Linked DNA regions of Arabidopsis thaliana. The protein of the gene in region 2 interacts with the protein of the main gene of each other region in a pairwise test. Each region holds a gene or a part of one and is shown on either strand. Other genes may lie near its edges.

Region 1 (7,117 bases), on a different chromosome or scaffold from region 2:
TTATCTTCTTTCTCCATAAACTGTTAAATATTTAATTTTATGATAATCTTTCCAGCAACCCTACTACATATATTTTTTTTTTTTTATTTATTTATTTTGCAACAAAACAAATTCATCCATTGATTTTTTTTAAAAAAAATCGCCTAGAAAAACTAGTACAAACTAGAAAAAAATAATTCAAAGAAAAAAAAAAAATCAAATTTTTAAAAGTTTGAATTTTCTTACTTAAATACCAAAGGATGACCATTCATCTAGAACGCCAATTAGCTTAATTAAATCTTTACAATTATGTCTCAAAAATCACACTAGCTAAAGAGGACAAAATATGACATTTTATTGCCCAAAAGAGATATTCGAACTATGTGTGTAGGGTGACATTTATCTGTGGTAGCTCTTTAACCCGAGGAGGGCAATATTCTAGCGAGAAAGGACAAGCCATCCATCGCCTCTTAATGAATCTGATACGTCCCACGAGCTATCGATTTGACAGACAATATAGTATGAATCGTGTCGATTTAAGTAGCGTCCATGCAAGCCCGAGCAATTGCTACGCGGAACGCATCCGCTTCTCGGGCCGTATAAGACATTACATCTACTGAATAAATGGCTTTATAATATTTTCGAACATTTTCGCGTTTTGACTTTCTAAATAAACCATAAATCAAAGGGGATCTTATTATTTAATGTACTTATTTTTCTTTTGAAAATGATTTGTTTTGTAAACATCGATCTTTTATGTAAGATAATCATAAAATATTCATTTATAATTAGGTAATTATAATATTTTGGTTTAATTATAAAAGTACTTTATTTTTTTTTTGGGGGGTAAAAATCCTTTATTTGTAATGAAAGTTAATATTTGAAATATTTTTCACAAAAATATTTTGATTAATCCTCTTAAGCAAATTTTGTAATCGTAATAATATTTATGGATTGCTTCTAGTTGCCCTGAAATTTCTTAACGGATTAAAGACAACCAAAACGGTTTGGGTTTGACATAAAATTAAAAACTTATAATTTAATGGAGCTTATGAAGTGTGGGCCTGGAGGGATATTTGCCCAGAAATTCGCTGGAAAAAGAAAACGATGTTCCAGGTAAACCTTGAGAGTTAAAAGTCATTTCTTAATAAGCTACAACGTCAAACACGAGTTTTGATCAAATAAACTTCCAAGTAGTCTCCATCTTCTGACTTTGATATGCACACCAAGTGGGGTTTGGTGTCTTCGTCTACTAGTATTTTGGTGTGTCCTTCCAAAAACACACGTATCTACCATAAATGTCAAATTAGCGAAATGAAAAAACAACATTTTATAAATGCATCCGTACGCAGAAACAAGAGGCCATAGTTAAGAGAGCTATCCATGGAATGGATCTTTAAGCAAGTTACACAAAATGATGAATGTGGTATATGAGTTATGCACACATACAGTATTAAGGAAAAAAGACAGCTTGTCAAAGCCGTTTAAGGCTCAACAACAGCAGTATTGTGTCCGTCCCTCCCATTTTTTTTCTCTGTTTTCGTTCATACATACATATATGCATCTCATCTAAAACAAACCAGAAATTTTCACACCAGTCTTGTCTTCGGATTAGAACTTTCTCCTCCTGTCAGGAAAGACATGTGTAATGTTTAAAAAACACTGCAACAACGAGTGGTCTTTTGATGAAACCATAAGCTGAAAACCCGTAAAAACAGATTCACGAACTGAAGGAACAACCCTAAGCAATTGCTCAATTAACGACAGCTTTGCTTTAAGCAAAAATCTTTAACGCAAACAATTGGAATCCATGATTTGATTAATCTGCAGTCATACTAAACTTGATGAATTGAATCAAAAAGAAAATAAGAAGAGGTGTTTCCTTCTTTCTCAGATCAACAGACTTTCACCTGCTCATAATTATAAATTGCTTGCTCAAAACCATGTCTTTCTTTAACCCTGGAATCTTCCCAGAAACGATTCACTAGTGTTGAATCAAAACTTGTGGCAACATCACTGGAATCTATCAAGATAGCTTCCAGGAAGTTGAGGTAGCTTTAGATTCTCTTCTGCGTGTACTATCAACCAGTCTCAAAGGTAAACAGTTTCTTACTATGTTACCATACATTCGCTGTAATACAGTCTCTAAATTGGGTAAAAAAGAAGTCTAGGAATTAAAAATATCTTACATGTGCGGCTAAAAGATGCTACATGATTGTATCTCATGGACCCCAACTTCATCTCTGTGTAGCGTTTTCCAACCAAACTGGTATGTGAAAGATCAGACATCTGTTTCATCTAAACTAAGCTTGGCACGATATTGACGACCTTTGCTTTGGAAACTGGTGCAGCTCTCTGATTCTCGTATTTCAGTATCCCCATCTTCTGTTGCACTTGGTCTCTCTTCTTCTGCCAACTCTCCAGCTACGATAGGCTTCGTCTCATTACAGTTACTACTGTCTTCACTTACGTCCTTGGTCTTATTCTGCGGAATAAAGGAGACTTTTGGAAATGATTCTGACTCTGGATTTTTCAATCCTTCAACAGCATTGGGAGTGTCCATGTACTCTCCTGTTGGGGACTCCACATCCAATTCACAAGATGGATCAAAGCTGTAACGGGTGTAACTCGAAGGATTTAGCAAGTAATCCGGTACCCGAGCACCACTTTTTCCCTGATGAGATACGATTTTTGACGAGGCAGAAGCTGAACAAGTATCTTCAGGCTTCTTCAATGTTTCTTCAGGCACAGAATCAAACCTGACTCGCTTACTTGTCCTTGCTTCTGAATCTGAACTATTCTCCTTCCTTTTGAGTATAGGTTTTCGCGGCATAGCTTCGGATGATTCTTCTGCGTGTGGCTCTTTGCTTTCCGAAGGTTGACTTGCAGAAGTATTAAACTTGTTAGCCTCAATTTCATCTTCCTTCAGCCTAATTCTTGCAGCAACATAGTTAGCACGAGGATCCCGAATCCGCCCACAGCCTTCACCGTCATTCTCTTCCCCTAGTGCAACTTTATCATACTCATCTTCCTCTGCCTGTGTTAAGAAGCATAATTCATGGAAACAACACTCAGCATCAAAGAAAGTGACATCCTATTCATAATACGGTATGTGCTACATATAGTTATAGCAAGAAAAACTCAAATTCAAGAATCTTAAAGCTGGTTACATAGGTTGATGATTCACGTACAAAAACTCTATAAGTCACACAAACCAATATGATACTACATTAAAAATTCAATGCTCTTCTCATATGAATCTACCAAATCCAAGAGAAAAGACCAACACTGTTCCCTAATTTCAATTAGCTAAGCAATGAGAAACAATCGTTAAGAGACCAAAATTGATTTACCTCGTCATCGAGAGTGCGATCAAGGCCCATGGAGGCTCTGATACTCCACACACCATCAAAATCCTCGCCGCAATCAATATCTTTGAGATCATCCTCGGAAGGCTTCTGCTGTTTTAAGAGCTCGTCAAAGGATGAAGCACAAGGAATCTCGTCTCTATCGTACGAATCTCGCTTCCACTCCCGCTTCTCTACCTCTGTGTCGGAGAGAGTCCACACCGACCCCGATTGCTGCCGCGACGCCGGAGCAGAAGACGACGTGGAAAACTTGGAAGACGAAGGACGAGAGAAGGGTAGAGATCCGAAGATCTTCGCAACGCGAGACTGGAAATCTTCGTCGGCTGATCCAGACGATGCCATTGTGAAGCTATTAGAAATTGAAACACACACAAATCGATTGCTGTGAATAAACGAAGAACGAACAAAATAATAGACCGCCTTTCGTGTGATCCTATAACAAAACAAATTTTAAATGGGCATTTTATAATGGGCCTGGCTTAATGGAATTTCCTACTTCTTGGCCCAATATCGGCCTACTAGTCACTGTTACCTCTATACAGTTTTTAATTTTTTTTTGGTTGTGTGCTAAAGTGGATTTTAGTATCCGTAGGCCGTTTGAGGTCAATAAGGAAATGAAAGATGCGACAGTCTAAAAAGGAAAAGAGAGATCTAAGTTACATTAGATTGATAGCCATATGTCGGAAATCATTTGAGAGAGAAAACATACGATAAATGTTGTGAGAAAGATGAAAGAAAATTGATGTGAGAAAATCTGATTAGAAGACCATATTAAATGTTGGTTAATAGTAATACATAATGTTCATTATTATGTTTTTAATTGCAGATGTCTTAGTTTTACCAGTTGAACAAAGATCTTAACCTAGATTTAAGACGATTATCGTTATGATTAAACAATATTGAACTAGCTGGACAAGACTCAAGAGATCATACATTTCATTAAACAATAAGGATTTTGAAACCAAGAAAATGTATTTTAATAATCATATGCGACTGTAAAGTCTGCAAAAGAAAGTAAGATCATCGTGTCCATTTTTTCCAAATTTCTCCCACTTTTCTTTTTGCTTTAACAATTTTTTTCCAAAAGAAAGTAATCATAAGTGTTCAATTTTTTATATTTAAAGATATTTTCATATAAAATAAAATAAACATGTCTTAAAAGGAATCATTTATACCCCACTGGCCTCTCTGTCTCTCCGGAACAAAAGATAATGGAGAAGCAACCAGATAACGGGTCCCACTCTCCCCTCTCTATTAATACTCTCGAGAGAATCGCGTTTACTACACGCGCCTCCTAATTTCCAGCCTCTTTAATACTACACGGGCTTTAAAGGCGCGTGGATATAGTGGATTTTAGCCAGAGTCCTTGTTTTCTCAGATGACCACTGTTACAGAAAAAGCACAGTCAGTCCTCTCTTTAAAAAATTTACACTTGAAACGACGTCGTATCTTACCAACCTTCACGATCTCCGGCGGTAACTAAAACGGCATAGTTTCGCCGTCTTTTGTGGTTAAAATTTTCACAAAGACGGTGAAGTTTTTTTTCTTCCTTTCTTTGATTTGTCTGTCTCTTCTCTTCTCCCGAGACACTTCATCTAAAAAACACACCCCCACTGTTTTCTTGTTTTGTTCTCTCTCGATTTCGCGAGAAAAAAACACCAGCTCAAAATTACGCTTGGCTCGAGACTTTGAAGATCATCGGTTTCTGTTTCTGTTGGATATTTCGGGGAAGCTTTGGGAGGAGAGGATCTCACGTTTTTGTTCGTTTATGGCGTCTGTGTGAGACATAGTGGTGGTTCTAGCTTTTAGGTTTTTGGTGTGTGTGTTCGTGTTATGTTAATTGCTGTTTGTGTCGAAGAAGAGGAAGTAATAAATTAGCTCAAAATGCATTTCACTAAGCTTGATGACTCTCCCATGTTCCGCAAACAGGTTTGTTTCTACTACATATCTTTGGTTCCTGTCTATGTGTGCTTGTCTTGATGTGTCCAGTCTTTTAGTGTCGTAGGTTAAAATTGGGTCATATTAGGCGAGATTTGTTCTTCAAAAGTTGTCAACAGATACTAATTTTGGAGCCATTAGGATGTGTTGTGTCTGGAATTTTGAATGTCCACCGACATTTATATTCCAAAATGTGAGTGGAACTTCACTGGAAGGTTCGAATTAATGTGTCACTAAGAAATTGGTTTATCTGGACGGCCTATTCGCGCTTTAACTTGTTGCTCCATGAAATGTGAAATGACTTATGATCCAGTGCACTTGTTTGGGTCTCTGATTCGTGTGTTTAGGATACATTTGTGTCCACTTAGCTACTACTTTCATGCTCACTGGTTTAGTAGGACTTCTGCTATCTAACTCAACTTAAATGCTAAGGAAGTTCCTAGTGTAGCTCAAATTCTGTCCAACAACTGCTCTGTTTGCCTGAAGTTGATGATTCTTTTGCCCCTATATAGAGTGCCTGAATCACTCAATCTTTGGGGTTATCCATAGTTGCAGTTTCTTCCATAATTGGATTGTGTCTTTACTGTTTTCTTTGCGTTTATGTATTTTTCCTTCCGCAGCTGCGTTCTTACATTGATATCTTTTTCTTAAATAGTTACAAAGCATGGAGGAGAGCGCAGAAATATTGCGGGAAAGAAGTCTCAAGTTTTACAAAGGATGCCGGAAATACACGTATGCTAGTTCAAATTTTCACAGCTAATTAGGATTGTAGCTCTACATTTAGAGTTTTCTTCTGGCTGAAACATGTATCTTTTAACAGCGATAGATTATTCTTTCTTTTTACAGTGAAGGACTAGGCGAGGCATACGATGGGGACATTGCTTTCGCAAGTGCACTTGAAACATTTGGTGGAGGCCATAATGATCCAATAAGTGTGGCTTTTGGAGGTATGACCGATTATATGGAAACTCGCAGTAGCATATTGTCTGTTTATTCCCATAATCTTTGCAGTTTTCATCTGAGATTCTTTGGCACTTTCCATTTTAGAATTCATAATTTCGTTTTTAAGCACTAAATACTGATAGTGGCCTTAAATTATGAGGGAAGTTGTTGTTCCCGCTCTTTCTCTTCGCTTTCTCTTTGCTAGGGTTGTTAGATTCACTGGTTTTGGTGGAAATGTTAACAATTTGCTGTTAAAAGTGCTGACAAACTCTAACTTGCTGTGCCAGGACCGGTAATGACGAAATTTACAATTGCGTTGAGGGAAATTGGGACTTATAAGGAAGTTCTTCGGTCACAGGTATGCTAGTTTGCTATTTTGACACTCTCTGTTTCTCCCTATTCCCAGCCTTCTCTCTGATAACTCCTGTGGTATCAACGTAGGATAGCTTTGTTTTCCTTCAGCAAAAATGGCCTCTTTATAGTTTGCTTTACCTTAAGACATCATATAGATTTAGAGCAGATCAAGTCATTTCAATCCAGGTTTTGATTTTGATGAGTTCCATTGTCAGGTGGAACATATACTGAATGACAGATTACTTCAGTTTGCCAATATGGACTTGCATGAAGTTAAGGTACAAGCTGCTTCCTTTATTATTGGCTTGATATACATGTTTTGAGTTAACTTTGCATCATTGAGGTATTAGTATTGACTAGAATATCTATTAAACAATGGAGGACAAATATTCTGCATGTGTGAATAGAGAAAATATGAAGACCTGCCAAGAGGCATTTAATTTAATATGGACATTAGGTCTTGTTCTTCTGGTTTGACTTGCAGCACTAGAAATCTAAAAAAAAGAACTAATTATCACTCATGTGGTCAACCTTCC
Region 2 (6,627 bases):
AACATATAAAGATAATGGGACTCATGTAAGATTCATTAGTCAATGCTGATTAGAATACTAAACAAAGAAGATCGAACAAAAGTAAAAAAAAAAAAAAAAACCTCTTTTACTTCATTCTCTGTGATTCTACCATCTCCATTTTTAACCCTGCAAGTTTCAAAAAGTGAAAAAACAAATCAAGAACTTTAGCTACATGTTGATCAATATGTTTAACAAGATTTGATGATAATTGATAACAATACATGTTGAAGAAGATTTGAAGACGAGAATCGAAGCTTTCGTCTGTAATTTGGTACCAAAACTCGTATAATTCTTGAAGATTGATCTTATCAACCATTATTCTTCTTCTCCTACACAATGCGTCGAACAACTCGTCTGCAAACTCTTTGGAATTTTCATTCTCCAAACCTTTCAAACACAGAACAACAAAATTTACAATCTCTATCGATTCTCCAGAGTCAAACTCAATTTCAAAACTGTGAAAATCATTATGTCGAACCTATGCAATGAGCAAAATCACTTTTGAAAAGATAACCATCTTTAGAAAGATGAGCGAAATTGTTTTGAACATCGTTCCAATCAACGATTCCATTTTCTTTGCTGCTTATGAATTTCAAACCATGAATCGCTCTCTCTGTACCCGATCCATCCCGATTAGGTCTAGTTGGTCGCTGAGATAAAGCTCGAGGGAGATTAACCGAATCGGTAATTTCGCCTCTGTGTGGAACCACCGGTTCCGGTGCAGACCGAGACGAATAACCGTAACCACGCCGTGAGATCTTCTGGATCTGCTGCTTTGAGTTCGTCCCCGCCGTCAGTCTCTCCGACGACGCGCTCCATCCTAAGCTAAGCGACCTTGATCCTGAACCGGAATCCGAGCAAGAGGTGATCTCTAGATCGGTACCTGAAATATCGGTGCCGGTTCCGGTAACGGAGTCGATGTTTATTATTACGCCGCTTGGGAATTCGATTGTTACTTCTAGGAGCTCTTCGCCGGAGGAGGAGGAGGAGGAGGGTGAGGGTGAGTATGTTGCTGGTAAGGATGGAAAGCTTTGGGTGAATTCTCCGGCGGAAGCTAAATCGGAGCCCCAACGATCGTTGTGAGTCCCGCCGGAAAATGACATTGACATTTTGAATTTGTTGGGAGGAGAGGAGAGAAGCCAAGGAGGGAGAAGACTGAATAAATACAGTTTTTGAATTTTGTGTTTATTATAAAATTTGTCTTTTGTACTAATCAAAGGAACGACCAGAGGAAATTACCAAAGCAGAACGAAAATATAAAAATAAGTTTGGTTTCTAAAAATACGGTTTTAAATTATACTATATTTACGAGTTACGACACAAAAAATTATACTATATTTTTGTGCATGTTTTAGGTACACTTTAATTATACTTAACTCGCTGTTGTTGTGAAATTATATATTTTTTTAAAAAAATTTAATTTGTTTAGCATATTAAAAATATATATGATTTAATGTTTTGAATTTTTATATATTAATTAATGTATAATTATTATATTTGATTTTTATTCTTTAAAATATAAAAACAATAAAATACAATTCATTTGGTTAAAATCTATATCACAACTAAATAATTTGAATTTGAATTGTATTTGTTTTGTTTAGTGTTTAAAACTAGAGGTATCAAAATGTCTCAACTCAACTCAATCCATGAACCCTAATGAGTTGAAAATTTTGACTCAAATGAGTTAATGGGTCAAATGAGTTGATGAGTTAATTGGTTTGATGAGTAAAATGAGTTGGGTTGTAATGGTTAATGGTTTCAATGGTTTACCCAATTAACACATCAAGTTTTGTAAAATTGAATTAAACTAATTAAAATCTCTAAACCAATGTCAATTTAAGTTTAACCAACACATCTAAACCAATTTAATAAATCATTATTTTTCCAAATTTCTTAAATATATAAGCGATAAAATTGAGAAAAAGTAAACTCGTAAATTTTTTTTTAAAAAACATAAACCCGTGATTTTTCCGCCAAAAATAAAAACATGTGATTAAAACTAATAACCGAAACAAAGTTTGGAAGATAAACCGACAATAAGTCGGAGATAGATACGAACGAAGACGAAAAGCTAAAACATAAAACGAAATCTAAAGCCCGATGTTAATCGGATTAGCAAAAGATAGTAACAAGATTCAAAGTTTTTTATCTCTAAAAGATTTGAGAGAATTAAGAGAGAAAAAAACTTATATGACACAAATACATTTAAGATTGTATTTTGGTGAGCAATTTAAACCAAAATAACATAATTCTCATAATACATTCAACACATACATTAAGGAGGGTCAACATTATCGAATCGAGATCCACCCAAATTAATTTTATAACCTAACCGGTATAGTAATTTGCCTTGTATATAAAGTTTTTGGAACCAACCCATTTAACTAAATTCACAAAATATAATAATTTAAATTTAAGTATATTAAAACTATAATATGAATTAAAATTAGTTAGTTATCTTTATTTTTATTATAAGTTTTTGTCCAAAACCGATCCTAACCTAAATTGAACCAAATGAAACCACATAACTGGATGCAGACTAATCAACAACAATCGCACGTGCGTCTGAGAACTTGTCACGTGACCACTCCGCTCCTTTCTTTGGCTTCGAGTTTTGGATGATGAAAAATAATTATTACCGCGTTTATTATAAAAGTTTCTAGGGTTTACGAAATTTGGGTCTCTCTCCCTCTCTCTACTTAACGCTCTCTGTATCTTCTTCTCCGTCAACGATACGAACCCAGAGACGTCGGCGGTTAAAACAATCGTCGGATCTCTCTGGATTCGTTAGACGAGAAGTTTCCGGTATCTAATTTCTGTGCGTTAGAGAGAAATTAGGGTTGTTGCTACGATGGATGAGACTTTACTTGACGATATAATACGACGGCTTTTGGCGACGAATAATGGAAGGACGGTGAAGCAAGCACAGATTACTGAGACGGAGATACGTCAGCTATGTTTAGCTTCAAAAGAGGTTTTTCTCAGTCAGCCTAATCTCCTCGAGCTCGAGGCTCCTATCAAGATTTGCGGTAATGTTACTGAATAGAGAAATGTTTCTCTCTGTTTACTTTATCTTGAATTCGTTTTTGTGTTGTGGGTTTTTGATCAATTTTACATTTTTTGATGTAAGGGTTTAGCTTTGTAAGTTTGTTGTTTGGGAAGCTTAAAGCTTAGATTTTTGGGATATAAGTGTACATTGAAATGGTTGAAGATGTGTATGTTGTGAATTAGTTAAATGCTCTGCCACTTTAAGTTAGTGTTTCTTGCGGAATTGTGAGTAGTGACCTCTTACTTTTGTGTCTTTGAGGAACCATGGTCCCTTAGCTCTGTTGCATAAGCAGTTGTTGGTATCTCGCTTGACTTATTACTTCATTTGATAGCTAATAGTTTTGTTTAGTTGCTGAATTTGGTGTATGATAGATATTAAACCCTTCTGTTGCTATCATAACTGTATGATTTGTAATTTTGTTGATGGTTTTAAGTTTATATGTTGATGAGCAGGAGATGTTCATGGTCAGTTTCCAGACCTCTTGCGGTTGTTTGAGTATGGTGGTTATCCACCAGCTGCGAACTACTTGTTTCTTGGGGATTATGTTGATCGTGGTAAGCAGAGCATAGAGACGATATGCCTTCTTCTTGCCTATAAGGTCAAATACAAGTTCAACTTCTTTCTTCTCAGAGGCAATCACGAATGTGCTTCAATCAACCGTGTATATGGATTCTACGATGAATGCAAAAGAAGATATAATGTTCGCTTATGGAAAACATTCACCGAGTGCTTCAACTGTCTGCCTGTTTCTGCTCTCATTGATGATAAGATCCTCTGCATGCATGGTGGACTATCGCCTGATATTAAGAGCTTAGATGACATCAGGAGAATTCCTCGTCCTATTGACGTTCCTGATCAGGGCATTCTTTGTGATTTGTTGTGGGCTGATCCTGACAGAGAGATTCAAGGCTGGGGGGAGAATGACAGAGGTGTCTCTTATACATTTGGGGCTGACAAAGTAGCTGAGTTCCTTCAAACTCATGACCTTGATCTTATATGCCGAGCTCATCAGGTAAAGCTAAAATTTATTCCTTGAGTTCTCTCTTTTGATTTCTCTGGATTGGTTTGTTCTTCTCTGTGACTGTTCTCTGAATTCAGAGGGTTAAGAAATCATAACTCAGTTGTTAATGCAAGGATCTGTAGTTTTTTCACCAAGCCAAGTTTTACTTAACTATACTGTTCCTGCAGGTTGTAGAAGATGGATACGAGTTCTTTGCAAAGAGACAACTAGTGACAATATTCTCTGCACCCAATTACTGTGGCGAGTTTGACAATGCTGGTGCATTGATGAGTGTTGATGATAGCTTAACATGTTCATTCCAAATCCTTAAGGCATCTGAGAAGAAAGGAAGATTTGGATTCAACAACAATGTTCCTAGACCAGGAACCCCACCTCATAAGGTGTGAAAATACTATCCCCCTGTATATAGATGCAATGTAGGTAGATGTTAGATATCAGGTTTGATATGTTAACATTCTTGCAGGGTGGAAAAGGTCGTTAACTCGTCGTCGATGGGTTCAAGAAACGAGTGAAACCGACGGGTTCGAATTTTGTAAGGCAAACAGTTTGTTTTGTTAGATTGTTATCTGTTTTCTTATGGTTGAGGCAACATTATGTTTTGTTTAGATTTTTTTTGTAAAAATTGTGGAAGATGTTCACAGCATTTTCAACTGAAGAAAGTTGGGTTTTATACAACTAACCTTTTAGAAACATATTCTAAAAACATAAACGTAAAATTTATAAAAATAATAAAATGAAACTTGAAAAACAATTATCTTATTTGACGTAATATATACTATAAGCTAAATAATAAGAGAAGAGGTAACCTAGATTTGAGGATAGATACTGCTTTTATCTTCTTCACGCGTCGCCGACGCGTATGCTTGTTCCCGTAGGCACCAAGGCAATCTATATAAACATATTGAGTGAAGTTTCACAATCTTTCACCATCAATTCCACAATTCTGCTTCTTCTTTGTGTGTTATCTCTCTGTCGGAGAAAAAAAAAACCCTAGTTTCTTGCTTGGCGAATCAAGGCAAAATCACGATGAAGCAAGCTTCTTCTTCTTCGTCATGTAATCCAACAAGTTTAACAAACAGACTTAAAACAATCTTTAAGAAAGCAGAAGAGCTTTCGATTCTCTGTGCTATTGACGTTTGCGTCATCTATTACGGACCAGACGGTGATCTGAGAACATGGCCTAAGGATAGAGAGACAGTGAAAAATATGGCTTTGAGGTATAAAGAGGACAGAAAACGCAAGAAGTGCCTCAATCTTCATGAGTTCCTCGAGAAAGAGAAGGTGAAGGACAAAGACAAGTATAAGGGGAAGACGAATTATGTGAAGAACCCTAATTGGTATCCAAACTTTGATCATTACTCTCCTCAACAACTCTCTCAATTGATTCAGTCCTTAGAACGAACACTTTCTACTCTCCAAAAAAGGCTTCGTATTGTTGAGTCGCAGAAAAAACAGAACACAAACTTGGTGCATCAGAGTTTAACACCATCGTATCTGAACCAGACACAACACTTGGATCCTAGCAAGTTCTCGCTGTATATGTACAACCATGGAGATGCTACTCTCTCACAACTCCCACTGTCTGCTTCACAATCCAATCAACTCATCAATTACCAGATGCAGCATGGTTTTGGTCAGAACATGTGTTTGGACAACATCACCAACAACAACAACTTTCAACATCCTGGCGTGTCAAACACACAAGACTACTCACCGTTACTTTCGGCGAATAACTACGGGTTGAATAATCACTTGATGCAGCAACAGGATCAGCTTCATGGTTTTGATCAGAACTTGTGTATGATGAGTGAAATCATCAATAACAACAACGGTTTACAACATCCTAATCTCTCAAACACTGTTCCACATGAATTCCCTTATGGTAACACTAGCTTCTCTCAAGATATGTTTTCGAGCTATGATGGGAGCAGTTTGCTACAGACATCTTCTCTGCCACCTCTCCACAACATTCCTAACAGCTATTGTTTTTCTGACAACTCAAGACTTCTCTGCTAACAAATCTGTCCAAAAGGATTTGTTTTTTGAAGCTTCATTAAGAGTCAGTCAATACTTATAAGTAGGAAGCTGATCAGAGAGAGATTGAAGCTGTTTTTGCTTCTGAATTCTTCCTGCTACTGTCTTTTTTTATTTTACAGTGTTGTTATAACTGTAAAACAGATCCATTTGTGGAGATTTTGTTTTTACTTTTAAGTTGGTATTTCAGTTAGTATTATATATATATATATATATATATATATGAACTTCCATAAAAGTCTTTCACAAAAACTTGCATGAAACAAATTATAATCTAAAATCACTTATGGTGACAAGACTGTTTCAATTGGTTGATACAACCTGCAAAGTGAAATCCTTTACTCTTGCATCTTATAACAAACTTGTAACTTAGTATCCTTCTTGTCTGAATCAGCTAATATATACATGAAGATGGAAAGTAGCTCTGATTTCGTGAAGACAAATTCTCTGCACCCAATTACTGTGGCGAGTTTGACAATGCTGGTGCATTGATGAGTGT
Region 3 (6,701 bases), on a different chromosome or scaffold from region 2:
TGTAACTTGGTTTTCACCAGCAAACATTGCACTACCAAAATCACAAAGCTTTAACATGTTTCTTCCCTCATTCATTAGTATGTTATCAGGCTTTATATCGCAGTGAAGAACCCCACAGTTCTTGAGATGTTTAAGGGATATGAATAACTGCTCAGCATACACTCTAACATCATATAGTTTTAGACCAATGTTGACACCAATCTTCTTCACAACTTCACGGAGATTCAGATGAAGAGACTCAAACACCAAGCAAAGGTGGTTCCTATATTCAAAAGTTGAAAGAAGACGGACGCAGTGGTGCTTATTCTCTGGGTCAGAGCAAACTAGCTTCTTCAATATCCGAATCTCAGCCTGGCCAGCCTTATGCATTGTCTCATTTTTCCGAATAATTTTTATAGCCACTTCCTCAGGTTCACCTAGCTCAGGTTTTGTGTCTTTTGCACGCACCACGGTAGAGAATACACCTTTCCCATGAGTAGCCATGATTTCATATCTATCATCAAGTAGTTCACCAAGCTGATAACTGTAATAACCTTCTGCATCATCCCAATTATCATTGAGTCCACTCCTTACAAAAGGAACAAGTGCATTCCCTTTCCGAGTACCATCAGCTAGAGGAGACTCCCCAAAGATATCATCACTGAACATGTCACTCTTTGGGCTGCCTGCGGAAGCTAGTGTCATATCTGAGTCTGATATCACAAGCCGTGCAGGTGTTTCCCCAACTGCTGAAGATAGCTTGGCGACTTCACCATCTACGGCCTCAGTATCCAACCCAGCTTTAGCTTGAACATCTGCCACAGTAGAGGACTGCTCCAACTTTTTCTTATATTTCTCCAATATGGCTTGCGTAATCCTCTTGCTTTCCTCGATTCTTTTCATCTCTGCAGCTTCTTGTTCTTCAACTCCCCAAACAACATCTTCACCGTCATCATCATTATCAACTTCAGACCTTTCAACGTTGCCCTGAGTTTCACCGTTAGGTTTATGGCTTTTTAAAGAATCTAAGTCATCTTCTGCATCATGCCTAACTTCCCCATATCCATCACCACCACTTTTATAGATCTCCTGATCACTCTGGTCTTCTCTTCTTCCTCTATCCCTATCTTGATCCTTACGTCTCTCTCTTTCATTCTCCCTCCCAGTCTCTCTACTACTAGACCTAGCTTTATCTCTACTACTCCTACCTCTGTAGTTGTCTCTATTGCTTTCTCTATCAATGCTTCCCTTCTTCTTCAAATTCTCCCCTTCCTCCAAATCAAGTTCACCATCGTTACCAGGATTCCCCAAAAATGGATAAACATTCTTTTCATTGCCGTCCTCATCAAGATGATGACTGTGTCGATGCTTGTGATGATGGTGCTTGTGCCGCTTGGAAGATTTAACGACTTCGTCGGAAGGAGAATACGACCTACGGTGTTTGCGGTGGCTTGATTCTACTATCTTATCGCTCACCATCAGATCGTCGGAAAAGATAGACAATCGCAAAATTAGGGTTAGGGTTCGATTTTCTCCCGCGCTCTCTCTGTCTCCGTGAACAACAGACTTCCATTAAAAAAATTCACATTATATAAAAATTACAGTCGGCATCGGCAAATTAAAAGGAAATCAGAATCGTCTATTTAAAAAAACAAAGGGCCCAGGCCCATTAATAATAAATGATTAAGAGGATAGAGCCATCATGTCCGTTGATTATTCGAAACCTTTCCGATGGATGGATGACACGTCATCGATCCGCAAGAAACTCGGGTAACCAATGAAAGCCAGCAGAAGCCTCTATATAAACAAATGTCTCCTCAGTTTTTCCATCAGACGCATCTTTCAATTGTCAAGTGATTGTATTTAACCACAATTTCTTCTCATCTCTAAAGTCAGCATCAATGGCTCCGAAAGCGGCAGAGAAGAAACCGGCTGGGAAGAAGCCAGCAGAAAAAGCTCCGGCAGAGAAATTACCAAAGGCGGAGAAGAAGATCACCAAGGAAGGTGGAAGCGAAAAGAAGAAGAAGAAATCGAAGAAGAACATCGAGACGTACAAGATCTACATCTTCAAGGTTCTGAAACAAGTTCATCCTGATATCGGAATCTCCGGGAAAGCGATGGGGATCATGAACAGTTTCATCAACGACATCTTCGAGAAACTAGCTCAGGAATCATCGCGATTGGCTAGGTACAACAAGAAACCGACGATCACTTCTCGGGAAATTCAGACGGCGGTGAGACTTGTGTTGCCTGGAGAGCTCTCGAAACACGCTGTTTCTGAAGGCACTAAGGCGGTTACTAAATTCACTAGCTCGTAGGGTTTATATCTCTTAATTCTCTTTCCGCCTTTCGAATCGTTTAGGTGTTATCGCTTTCTTCTACATCTTTGGTGGTAAATCTTTGAATGAAAAGTTTCCTTTGTTAATGAATATCGTTTTCTTCATAAGAACAAAAAATTATTTGATCGGTGATCAATATCTTCTTCCGTTTCTGAGGGTTTTTTGGCCTTTTTTTCTATCCATAACTCTTTTGGTTCTTCACGATTCCACTAATTTGGTGGGGAGCAACACTAGTTATATTTTGCAGAGATTTGTGGGCACAATGGTAAATCATATACTTGAGTAATTATGTTAAAGAATGTTTCACTTTAACAAAATCATACTGATCCATTTGGTTTTATCTTAATCCCTTGATTTAATCACTTCATGGTGATTTCTAACTGTGTTTAGTGATGACGATGTTGATGATTGATGTTTAAGGTTTTCACTTTTCAGTGAACAAACGTTACAACTGGGCCTATTTATCATTCGTGACCCATTTTTTCCCTCGTGATCGGGCTCTAGCGGGAAAAATTCAGACACATAAAATAAGAGTATTAAACACGAGACACGTGTATATTTCTGATTCGCTCCGAGTAAGGTGGCCACGTCTTCGTCTCCCTAGTTGACCTTTCTTTGCATTTCTATCTTAATATAAAAAAAACTCGTTTGATCCATCCGTCTTCTCTCAGATTAGCTTTTTAACATCTTGGCTGGGTTTCGTGTGATTTCGTTTTGGATATGGTTGTTCGGATTCTTGTTACCATGATTCGGCTATAGTGTTTGTCGCCTCTGATTGTCTCAAGCATCGTTCTTTACTGATTTTTAGATAGCTCTGAGATCTGTCTCTGCGATTCGTCGGATTTGAATTCGTTTTTTTTTTTGGGTAGCTCTTGGATTTCTTCTTCTAGGGTTTCCAAGAGGATAGAGAAAATGCGGGTGTCCTCTGAGATACTCCTTCTTTCTTTGGTTCCGGCGTTGACTTTTTATCATTCTGGTTTAAGTTCTAATCGTTTGAAACCTCTTCAAAAGAGTGATTGGCGTGGTAATCTTAGTTAAACAACAATTTCTCTGTTTTTTTGTTTCTCCGATCTCTTCAGATCTTTTCAATTTTCTCTTCGGTTTGGTTTGTTTTCACGCATTTCCTAGCTCGGAGTAAGCTAATCGAAGAAAACAAGCTTGTTATTGATCGATCTTTCGGTTTTTGTTTTGACGTTTTGTGTGAACGAGGTAATTTGGCTATATGATTTTTTGGCTAAAGTGTTGTTTGAGCTAGAGTTCTCTTGTTAATGGTATTTGAATTTGTGTTTGTTGCAGTTACTTTTGGATATGAGCTCTGTCTGTGGTGGGTTGGATTTCAAAGATGCAGAGAGCAGCTCTGCTTCCAGTCCCATTATATGTTCTACTGGCGTAAAGCATATCTCTTGTGTTGGATCTGATGATGCTCAAGAGTCTGATGGTGATGATAGTGGTTATATACACCAAACTGTGATTGAAGAATCCAAAGACAAGGCGATCAGCGAACCCATCCCTGAGTCTTTACCTCTCAATTCTTTGGATGATGAAAGTGAAGATAAGAACCTTGCTACTGCATTGCAAGACATGTTCTCTGAGAGTGTAAGTGACCCTATCTTATTTCATAACACTGGTCGCTATCTTTATAGTTGTTGCGTTTTTTCTGTTCTATTGTCTTTTGTTCTTTCTCCTGTTTAGAATACGGTGTGGTCTGTGCTGATGTCAAGTTTCTATCTTTGATCACATATATAATTGAACTTAGATGTTTTGCGTAGCTCTAGGCTTGTGATCGTGGCTGTTTCAATCATATGTCGGTAGTTGCTTACAACATCTAGAACCAACCTTTTAGTCTTTAGTGGTAGATATACAAGAATGCGAAGGAGTAACATTACAAATCATCCCTGGCCAAAGCAAGAACATAGCTTAGGTTTTATGATCCATGAAATAATACAAATCCTTAGATTTTGGCTGTGTGATATATATATATATCAATGTTTGGTGCTTATAAATATCTTTTCTGTTTATGATATATGTAGTAGAGAAATGCTGTGTTTATGTTGGCTGCTTCTGATTTTTGTTGTTTTTTGTAATCCAACAACAGATGAGTGTGGTTACTCTGATTCCTGCCATTAAAGGTGGTCGAGAGAAGCATGGCAAGTCACTCGAGAAGCTCAGTGTGTCATGGGCTGAAGATGTGTATGATCCTCCTCCCTCCATTGTCTCTCACACAAGAAGCAAGAAACAGCAACCGCAGAAATCAAAGAGCAAAGACAACCTGAAGAAGAATGGAAAGAAAGGACAAAAGGGAAGCAGCAATTCCCGCAGCAGCAAAGACAAGAAGCAGATTTCTTCACGCAGCAGCAAATACAGTCGTGATAAGTTTGATTGGACAACACAAATGTCTGTTCTAGCTGCATCTTCTTGAATCTGTGTGGTATGACCAAGGCTCTTGCGTCTTCCTTGCTCTTGTCTCTCTCTCTCTCTCTTTCTTGTTTATAAATAAAAGATTTGAAGTGAAAACTTTTCTCGAGTTTCAGAACGACTATTGTTGTTGGTACGGAATTGATTTTGTTTTTACTCAATTTACCACTTTTATTGTGAAGTTTTTCCCTCTCTACTTGTTCCTTTATCTATAATATAGCTGATAATTTTGCAAAAAGTTGATACTGCTAATTTAGTAGAGCAAATTGGATCGTAGTTCGTAGATTTCAACCCTTAATTTGATGGAAAGTGCACAAGAAATAATATATCAGTTCAAGCAAAACCATACACAGTACAGAAAGGAACAACATTAGTATTATATGCCGACGACTTTACTATATTTGCTTCTTTTTACTTCTTTCCTTTACAAAATATTTCACTAGATCTGAAACCTCTCCTGTGTCAACTCTAAATTCTAATATCGTCTTTGTTAAGGGCTTGTACAAAAAATAACAGAGGTACACAAGAAATGATCCTTCTGCAAAAAGAAAACAAAGAGTGGGTTTAAAAGGGGCAAGAGAGCAAAAAAAGGAAAGATCCCAAATCCCAAAATCCGGATGAAGCTTCAAAAAATCTTCCATGAAAGATGATATCAGATGATTGAAGTTGATTCTGAAAAACTCGGTACTTTCTTCTCGAGCATCGATGTTCCCTTGAAGATTGTTAGTTGCACTTCTCTCTGGTACCTCTGTAACTGTAAACACAAACACCATTGTTAATCCTCTTTTAACCATTTTTGTAACCAGACTGCGCAACCATTAAAGATTTGATCAAGTCAAAAGATTAATCATGAAAGCATTTGCCAGGAAATGTCCCAGGCCAAACTTTACGTACTCGATGTTCAGTCATCTTTGTGAATCCAAATTTATTTGTCCAGATAGACTCAGCTTCTTCAGCTGCTGGGAGAAGCAAGTTCTCAACATTCAGAGAGGAAAGAAGATTCTCAACGCAAGCAAACAGCCCTTGAAAGTAGCCCTATAGAACCATTAAACAAATTGGTTTTGTCACAAGTTATAAAACAAACAAGCGAATCCGACACAGCAAAGAAACATGGGATGTACAAAAGCTTACCCTTCCCTGATACTCTCGGCTTGTAGCTACAATAGGAAGTTCTGCAACTTTCTGACCAAATATCCTAAGCAGCGCGGCAGAAACAACTAGGGAACTAAAAACGCAGCAAAAAACATTTAGAAAGATTGAGAGATGGTAAAACAACAATACAGAGAGAAAGATAAATGCATCAAGAACACCAGACATACTTCACCATCAGGACCAAGCAGTACATTCCTCCAAACTCCTGGCCAGATATGTTTCTCCTGCAAACATGTTGGAAGAATTACCAGGATGATCAATTACTATTAACATTTGAATGAAAAAGGAACTTGAATCTGAGTTTATCATAGTACAGCTTACCCATAGACCATGACAGGAATGAGATCACGACCAGACTTTGCCACAATGGGATCAAAACACTCCTGAAAAGTAAACTCATTTGCTATACATGTGTTTATAAAATAAATTCGCTGTACAATGTACATGTGTGTAAGAAATAAATTTACAAGCCAGATAAAACTCAAAATGATGTGAGCACATTTATAAATTGAGGCATACCCTGAAAATAGTAGCTGCTCGTGAAAGTAAGGGTAGATGCTCTGGGTATCGACTTTTTCCACTAAGCATCCTCCACTCCACAGTATTTCCATTGTCAATATATATTCCTTTTTCTCTGTACTTTCTGCTTATCGTGTCTAACAAAAGCGTGGGAATAGTTTGTGGCCCACATGAAGCAGAGCTTTGAAGAACCCTGTGAATCCTGCTGCAGTCACTACAGCAGAACCATTTATCTTGGGGGATTCCCTACAGCAATCAGGAAAGAAATGAGACAGGTTTAATGAACATGTGAACACA

The links.
Region 1: the proteins of TOPP7 (region 2) and AT5G13310 interact in a two-hybrid assay, tested with the Arabidopsis thaliana proteins (one large-scale study listed by BioGRID).
Region 3: the proteins of TOPP7 (region 2) and AT3G53670 interact in a two-hybrid assay, tested with the Arabidopsis thaliana proteins (one large-scale study listed by BioGRID).

Annotation. Positions count from the first base shown.
Region 1 is NC_003076.8:4,260,133-4,267,249, reverse strand, and holds AT5G13310 (uncharacterized protein), read right to left. Parts: upstream 3,761-7,117; 5' UTR 3,690-3,760; coding exon 3,333-3,689; intron 3,017-3,332; coding exon 2,261-3,016; 3' UTR 2,169-2,260; exon of another isoform or gene 1,607-2,168; 3' UTR 1,298-1,606; downstream 1-1,297. Other genes in the region: SFC (ARF GTPase-activating protein), read left to right, coding at 5,232-5,276, 5,941-6,017, 6,132-6,232, 6,515-6,585, 6,797-6,859.
Region 2 is NC_003075.7:6,844,458-6,851,084, forward strand, and holds TOPP7 (Calcineurin-like metallo-phosphoesterase superfamily protein), read left to right. Parts: upstream 1-2,654; 5' UTR 2,655-2,875; coding exon 2,876-3,053; intron 3,054-3,525; coding exon 3,526-4,085; intron 4,086-4,261; coding exon 4,262-4,474; intron 4,475-4,557; coding exon 4,558-4,575; 3' UTR 4,576-4,860; downstream 4,861-6,627. Other genes in the region: AT4G11230 (Riboflavin synthase-like superfamily protein), read right to left, coding at 102-147, 243-408, 500-1,130; AGL52 (AGAMOUS-like 52), read left to right, coding at 5,121-6,110. UniProt on the Arabidopsis thaliana protein: Serine/threonine-protein phosphatase that possesses phosphatase activity toward para-nitrophenyl phosphate (pNPP) in vitro.
Region 3 is NC_003074.8:19,887,478-19,894,178, forward strand, and holds AT3G53670 (uncharacterized protein), read left to right. Parts: upstream 1-2,886; 5' UTR 2,887-3,342; exon of another isoform or gene 3,343-3,446; 5' UTR 3,447-3,527; intron 3,528-3,614; 5' UTR 3,615-3,626; coding exon 3,627-3,914; intron 3,915-4,413; coding exon 4,414-4,737; 3' UTR 4,738-4,966; downstream 4,967-6,701. Other genes in the region: AT3G53640 (Protein kinase superfamily protein), read right to left, coding at 1-1,458; AT3G53650 (Histone superfamily protein), read left to right, coding at 1,881-2,297; AT3G53680 (Acyl-CoA N-acyltransferase with RING/FYVE/PHD-type zinc finger domain-containing protein), read right to left, coding at 5,386-5,487, 5,628-5,768, 5,865-5,958, 6,053-6,109, 6,207-6,268, 6,405-6,650.